Cricetulus griseus: one gene and its partner. The protein of the gene in region 2 purifies or fractionates together with the protein of the main gene of each other region. This does not show direct contact. Links are inferred from orthologs where the notes say so. Each region holds a gene or a part of one and is shown on either strand. Other genes may lie near its edges. The genes, in order: Cul4b and Wdtc1.

Region 1 (3,816 bases), on a different chromosome or scaffold from region 2:
CAAATGGCTTTGGTTTAATTATGATCAATGTTATAGTGAGTGATCTCTTCCATTCTAACATCAGTAAGCACTCTTGCTGGAGATGAAATGACTAGGTGAGCATGTGAGCAAGTGTGGTAATGAGAAGGCATGAGGTTTAGAGAAGCAGACTACCTTATTAAAAGTAATATTAAAAGTAATAGCTACTACATACCTACATACATACCAAACTTAGTACTACGTGTTTTGTGCTTTCCATCTCACTTAAGCCTCAAAATAATAGTGCGAGGGAGCTGGAGAGATGGCTCAGGGATTAAAAGCACTGGCCGCTCTTCCAGACAACCTAAATTCAATCCCCAGCACCCACATGGTGGCTCAGAACCTTCTGTAATGAGATCTGGGGCCCTCTTCTGGTGTAGAGGTGTGCATGCAGATAGAGCACTCATGAATGAATGAATGAATCTTTAAAAAATGGTGGAGCTAAGTATAATTATCAATTCTAAACAAGCTCAGCAAGATTAAATGCCTTATCAAAATCCAAAGCGCTAGGAATCCTAACAGCCAGGAGTCTATACAACTTCTACCAAATGTTTATTACAAAAGTTTAGAAATCTTTTAAAATTTTGAATAGTCCAGTACACCACCTCACTGTCTATAAATACCTATATTGCTGGACATTTGTATTGGAACATGTCAATACACTGACCAATTTCAGTTTACTAGAAATATTATTAGACATTTTCAAAGGCACTAAAACTACTTTACCACTAAAATACAGCCAGCAGCCTCTGTAACAGATTTGAGAAACATTTATAAGGTAACTAAACAAGATATAACTCAATCTAATAACCAAATATGTCAAATGCCAAGTTATCTCCAGAAAAGAAGATTCTAAAGATACATAGTGAATTAACTTCAAAATTTTCAAAGTCATATTTACTCATTAAACTTTCAAGTACAGGGAGGGGCTTTTGTAAATTGTTTCCCAATTTGTCACAGTTGTATACATATACCAACAACACTCTTTTGTGAACTGTATGTATGACTATAGGAAATAAATTCATGTCCTTCTAAATGGCTTTAAGCCTTTTATCTATATTTGCAAGATTATTGTCTAAAAATCAAATGTATTTTTTCATTTATAACAAGTTCAGTATGGAGACACAGAAACACCTACTTTTACTGGAAATTTCAGCTGATTGTAGACCTCTGAGACAAGAAGATTGTGGCTAAGTGTTTTCCTCATCTTCATAATTCGGACAATCGCAGCATCAATTTGGTATTGTCTATCTTGAAATACTCTTTCTGTAGTGCTTGCTTGTTCTTCAACCTAAAAAGAGTTTTCAAATGAAGTCAAACTTAATTATTAACACAAACTGTACATTAGGGACATAACAGTGTTACCTAAATGGGACCTGATAAATACAGACACAAGAGAAAAAAAACTTGACACATATAGGGCCTTTCTGTTCTAATCACACTGTTCTGTACCAATCAATACAAATAAATCAGTATCTATACAGGTTAAGAAAAAAGATACCACCTTTGAGGACTGGGGAGATAGACTCAGTTGACCAAGTGCCTGCCCTGCAAGCATGAGGACCTGATTTTTAAATTTAGATTTTCGTGAACTCATGTAAAAACTGATTCCTGGAACTCAATACCTAGCCAGCCTAGCCTAGTTAGTGAGTTCCAGGCAAGTAAAAGACCATGACAAGAAACAAGGTGGATAGCTCCTAAGGAATGACACTGGAGGTTGTCCTCTGGCCTTGCCTAAAATTCAAAATGTTCATACCCATTGATCCAAAAATTTACTTTCATGAATTCATCTTAAGGAAAAGATCACAGATTAAGATTCAGATACAGAACTTTTTTAAAAGTTTCAATGGCCATGTACAAGATTATGTAGCTATTTAGCATTCTGTTGATAGTTTACAAACGTGTGGGGGTATGTGCATTATATCAGTGCGGTTAGGGATGTCAGAGAACAACCTTGGGCATCAAGGGTCAGGAGCCTTTGACAAAACAAAACAACCAAACAACTATGTTGACTGTCAACCCTATTATGTTTACTCCTCAACAAAAAGAAACATAGAATCAAACATTGAAATGTACTAGGCTAGATGTGGGCACAGGAAATGTTAACAGTAACAAGCTGTAAATTTCAGGGCTAGAAAGATGGTTCTGCAGTTAAAAGGACCTGGGTTACATTCCAGCACCATTCACACCCATCTATAATTCCAGGTCCAGTTGATCCACTGCCCTCTTCTGGCATATGGGTCTCAGGCCTGATGTGGTGCAGACACACATGAGGCGTAACATTCAAGCACATATAATTTTTTTTTTTTTGGGTTTTCCAGACAGGGTTTCTCTGTAGCTTTGGAGGTTGTCCTAGAACTTGCTCAATAGACCAGGCAGGCTGGCCGTGAACTCACACAGATCCACCTGCCTCTGCCTCCCCGAGTTCTGGGATTAAAGTGAGCCACCACCACCTGGCTGCACATAATATTAATTTGTAGTCTGTAAATTTCTACTAGAAACACATATAAACCTAATATAGTCCAACGAGAGAGCAAAAGGCTTACCGTTTCTTTCATTTGGATTTGATTGATCTTTATCCTGAATAGTTTGTGTTTGAAATCATCATTACAAATGAATTTGTCACCATCTTCGATATCTTTGCCCTTTGGATTTTTAGTGAGAACTCTAGCTTTGCCACAGGCTAGTGATTGCAGGGTTCTCCTTAATTCTCCATCCTCTGAAGAAGAAATAATGCTTAGCAGCATGCACAACACTACATTCAACATCAATTTAATTTATAAACATTCTCTATTAAATTCTTTTTTCCCCATATCACCAACACCTGCTCTTTGTGCTATCCAGTAACATATTTTTCTAGTTGTCTTCTAAAAACATTTGTTACCCCATGCAGACAACTACTAAAATTTCTGATGTAACAGTCCCCTTCTCTAAAGTCAATCACTAAAAGGGCATACCATTTGACTGTTTTATTATCACTCCAGTATGTTCTATTCTCCATTAACCCTCTGCTTCATTGCTACTGACACTACTACTAACCTAATTCAATGAAAACCCCTAGACTCATCTTTTAAGTCCTCCTTCTCCTTCATTCCATATGGCTCTAGTAATTCCATTGCTGTTGGAATCGTTCTACTAGAAGCCCTTTAGAACTTCATATCACAATTATCTTTACAGTTTCTAGGCTAGAATCTTTTCCTGTTTCGGGTGGCTGGCCCTACTAATGCCAGGTAAGTTGTGCAAATAGGTTATTTCCTTTAAGTCACTATAGCTCAGGTTTCAGCTGTATTCATCAGTCTATTTATACATCTTACCTATTGAATTTTATAACTCACCATTCTAAGCTACAAACTTTTCATGCTTCCAACTTACACTACCCAAGCCTTTCTTCATACTAGTTCCTTTATTTCAGATGCCTTCTCTCCAACCAAAATTTAAAGGCCTAACTCAAGTCCCACTTCCTTCCACAATAATCTCTAGCTTCTCTTAACATACTTCTTGTTAGCACTACATACTGGTACTTACTGGTTTTGACATTATTAAGAATACAGAGAAGCCAGGCAGTGGTGGCACACCTTTAATCCCAGCGCTTGGGAATTCACTCTGTGAATTCAAGGCCAGCCTGGTCTACAAAATGAGTGCCAGGACAGCCGGGCTGTTAGAGAAATCCTACCTTGAAAAACAAAACAAACAAAAGAAATACAGGAGGGGGCTGGAGAGACATCTCACCACTGAGGAGTACTTTCTGGTCTTTCAGAAGACCAGATAGATGTCAGTTCCCAGCATCTACATGGTGGC
Region 2 (3,816 bases):
CTTAGGGCACTCTCTTGAGAGGCTGGTCCAGTCCTGTCTTCCTTTTTGCATACCTGCTCTTGGTGGATGGGTATTTCACCTTCACATCTAGCTCAAGGAGATGTTCCAAGACTGTGAAAGCCAGTCTCACCCCAGAAATGCCCCACTGTACTTAGGACTTCCTGGGCCCGGGGTTCCCACCTTCCCAGCAGCTTCTAGGCTATATGGCTCATTCCCTTCCCCAGCACTGAAGCTCAGCCCGAGGCTCTAAACACAGTCCCTACGCTCCTTGTTGTCTGGCTTTGGCCACCTTGCCTGTGTCCTCACCTCTGGCCGTGGATTCCAGAGTCGCACAACAGGGTCAATGCCACTGGTGGCCAGGAAGCAATAGCTGGGATGCGGCTGCAAGCAGTTGACAATGGACTCATCCCCCTGGAGCACTCGGACTAAGTTGGTGGTTTCCTTTTCCCAGACGAAGAAGGAGCCATCATCAGAGCCACTGACGATGTATTGAGCGTTGCTGGCAGGGGACAAATGGCAGGAAGGTCAGGTGGGAGACTGGCCTAAAGCCTCAAGTAAAGGCTTGAGGGAAACGGCGAAGCCTGGGACCACTCAGTCCCCCACACTCAAGGAGCTACCCTTGACTCAGAACTCTCCTAGGCAAATGGTCTTCCTCCTCCATACTACAGGTACTAGTCATTACTGTATGAAAATTCAACATCAGTTGGGGTAGAGGACTGAGCACACCTTTGATCCTAATACTCGGAAGGCAGAGACAGGTGGATTTCTGTGAATTCAAGGCCAGCCAGGTCTACAGAGAGTCCCAGGACAGATAGGGCTACACAGAGAAACCCTGTCCAGAAAAACAAAACAACAAAAAACCCCAACAAAATAACAACAAAACACCCAATATCAGTGATTCTCTGGGTCCTTCCAAGATGGTACCACAGTATCCCCAAGGTACACCATTACCTCCTTGGTGTTGGACTAACTCTTGTATCCATCGCTTAGGTCTCTAAGAACACCCTCATCTAGTTAAGGCTCACTCAGAACTCCAAGACTTCTTGGGTCCAGCTATCAAATCCTACAGTCCACCCACAACACAGGCCTCATAACTGTGAGCCCTCATCTTGGCAGAGAAGACTTGCTTGATTTATGTCCTTGTGCCTTACCTACCCAAAGGGTATAAACGAAGGAAGGATGGGGCTTAGGGTGGCAGTGTCTGAGAATACAGGCTCTGTCCCTCAGTACCTAGGGCACAGTTCCAAGCACAGTGGTCTGAGGTGCCCAGCCTTTGACAGTTGTTGCCTCCCCTTTCAGCAGCAGAGAAAAGCTCCAACTGCCCAGATAAAGCAAGCAAGCTCTGGGATAGGAGACAGAGTCGGGAGGGGCAGAGGAGACTGCTCCAGCACAGTGCTGGATGCTGCATTCAGGGCAGTCTGCTGTGACTCCTGAGCGGTACATGGCTGGCTTCACCGAACAGACAAACAGAGCCTAGCAGAGATACCCAAGGGCAGGCCACAAAGGCGGGCCAGGCAATGAGTGGCCACAGCCCACAAACTCCTGCTGCCAATTGTGATACGGGCCTCAGACCTGCCAAAGAAGTTTGCCTCCTTGATGTCTGTTGTGGTGTTGCAGTGGCCACAGTAGCGGAACTGATAGTCGTAGCTCCGTTCCCGTAGCACCATTTCATCCTCTGAGATGGAATCCTTGCGATTTGTGCTGCGGAGGCGAACTGGACCGCCACCAGCTGCCTTCTTCTCCTCTGGAGGCAGAGATCAAGGAGAGGTGAGAGGCTTTCCCCCACATGCTCACTGGCTCCTCTAGCTCTGTCTGCTTGCAGTCCAATGCTGGAGACATGTGGCTGCCCACCTCCACCCTCACTCCAGAAACTGAGAAGGCTGCATGGATAAGCACCACTGCTTTCAGCCTAACAGTATTCTCTGAATGAACAAATCTGCGCTAGGCATCTCCCTCCAGCGAGACCGTTTTCCATGTTTGTAGTCCATATTACCACACCCCAGCTCTCCCTACAACTCTAGCAAGAGGAACTGGGCAGGCTCTGTGTGCGCTTAGGTGGCACTGGTCTGGAGGCTATGCTGTATGCATGGCCACACACACACAGTTCTACCCGGGGGAGCTGAGCTGAGAACTAAGGCATCACAGATGCCCTAGCCACCGTGTCTGCCACTCTTGCAAGACTGAAACAAAGGCAACAAATACCACTTGCCCCTCAGCCCAGTAAGCTGCCACGGCCCAGTCTGGAAACAGGTGGGAAGGCCCAGCTGGAGTCCACATAGCCTGACTGGCTCAGATGACTTCTGTACCTGGCATCTTGAATGCTCTCACTACCCTCAACAGAGGCTTTCAATGGGAGGTGCTGGCTGCCGTCCCTTCAGGTGTGGAAACTGGGTTTCGGGGATCAGCAGACTGTCTTATGTCTTAGGCCCTAGGGTTTTCTGAATCTGCATCTGAAGCCAGGGCTTCCCGATGGAACACAGAACCACGTCCTTTCGGGATCCTGTAGCCCTAAGGAAGAAATCCACAGCAACCTCTGCTCAGCACTCACCACCATCATTCTTGGAGAAAAGGGCAGCTGTGATGTCCCGGCCCAATGCATCACAAGCACTGCTGTGGGCCTGCTCTGGGAACTTCCCTTTGAAGTCATCCAGGCACTCCAGAGCCTCAGCCACATACTTCAGTTCAAAGAGGCATCGGGCCAGACGGAAGTGTGCCTTCAGGTGGCAAGGGTTCAAGGAGATGGCCTTGAGGCAGTCCCGGAGGGCGTCATAGTGGTCACCATCCCTGGGAAGATAGAGGAATAGCAGCTTAGAGGTGAGGCCATGTAGCAAGCACAAGGCTCCCACTCAGTCTCCATTTTCTGTGGCTACTTCCAGCTCACCTCTAACAGACTTTAGAGTGAGGAGACATGGAAATGAAGCCTTGGCTTAGCCCGGTACTCCCTCCCTGGGAGATGGAGCAAGCTAAGGAGCAAGCCAGGAACCCTGAGGTTTGAGACAGTAAAAAGCAGTGTTGGGCTGCCCTCTGCCGGGCACAGACGGCAACTGTGCACAGCTCACCTCAGGCACCCGCAGCTCTGCAGCAGAAGGCTTGGCATCTTGCCCACCTTAGACTCCCCAAGCCCTCCTTCTCTTTTCCTTCATCCACCTCCTCAAATCCCCCTGCTGGCCTTCAAAGCTATGTCCAAGGCAGGGGGCCCTCAAGGACAGTTCTGTGGTCTGGAAAAGCCAGAAGTGCTAGGCCGGGGGCTCAGGGTCTGACCAGCAGGCAGTGCTCCCTCAGCCAGACCCCCCTCTGTCCTGGCTGACTGATCTGCAGCAGCTGTGGCCTCCACCTCCTGGGGCTGGAGGATGGGGCCTGGCTGTCTGGCAAAGTCAGCTCTCTGGAAGCTGATGGTGAGGGGGCTGTGCTCGCCAGGAGCTCCAAATCCTCTCTACTCGTTTCTCCAAAGGGAAAGTATGGATAAAGGGAAGTGGAGATGCTTTCTACTGGAGAGGGGAAAGGGAAAAGCCCTCATGTTCCTACGCTGAGCCAAGACAGGAGGCATGCCTCCCCCGTTGCCTCTTTGCCTCTCGTCTGTACAGTCAAGCAGCAATGAGGGCCACTTTCCTCTTTAGAGACATGCATTTGTTGGTTTTCTTCAGTGTTTGGAATTGAAGCCCCCCTCCCCCACTTCCAACTGGGCTGGGGTGGGCCTATCATAAGGCTAACGGCACAGTTCACAGTATTCCTGTATGGCCAAAATCAGCCTATATAGAAGATGCTTCTGACTCTCCTCTTGCCAGGTAGTCAGAAGGAACATCCAGCCCTTGGAGC

Evidence for each region.
Region 1: the proteins of Wdtc1 (region 2) and Cul4b purify together in Homo sapiens (affinity purification with mass spectrometry; 4 studies listed by BioGRID and IntAct, counting the BioPlex papers as one, with this or other methods). This does not show direct contact. The link is inferred for Cricetulus griseus from reciprocal best matches to the Homo sapiens genes WDTC1 and CUL4B.

The regions. Positions count from the first base shown.
Region 1 is NC_048604.1:28,554,893-28,558,708, reverse strand, and holds part of Cul4b (cullin-4B), read right to left. Parts: intron 2,738-3,816; coding exon 2,565-2,737; intron 1,310-2,564; coding exon 1,157-1,309; intron 1-1,156.
Region 2 is NC_048595.1:19,981,625-19,985,440, reverse strand, and holds part of Wdtc1 (WD and tetratricopeptide repeats protein 1), read right to left. Parts: intron 2,785-3,816; coding exon 2,549-2,784; intron 1,745-2,548; coding exon 1,573-1,744; intron 500-1,572; coding exon 307-499; intron 1-306. UniProt on the Homo sapiens protein: May function as a substrate receptor for CUL4-DDB1 E3 ubiquitin-protein ligase complex.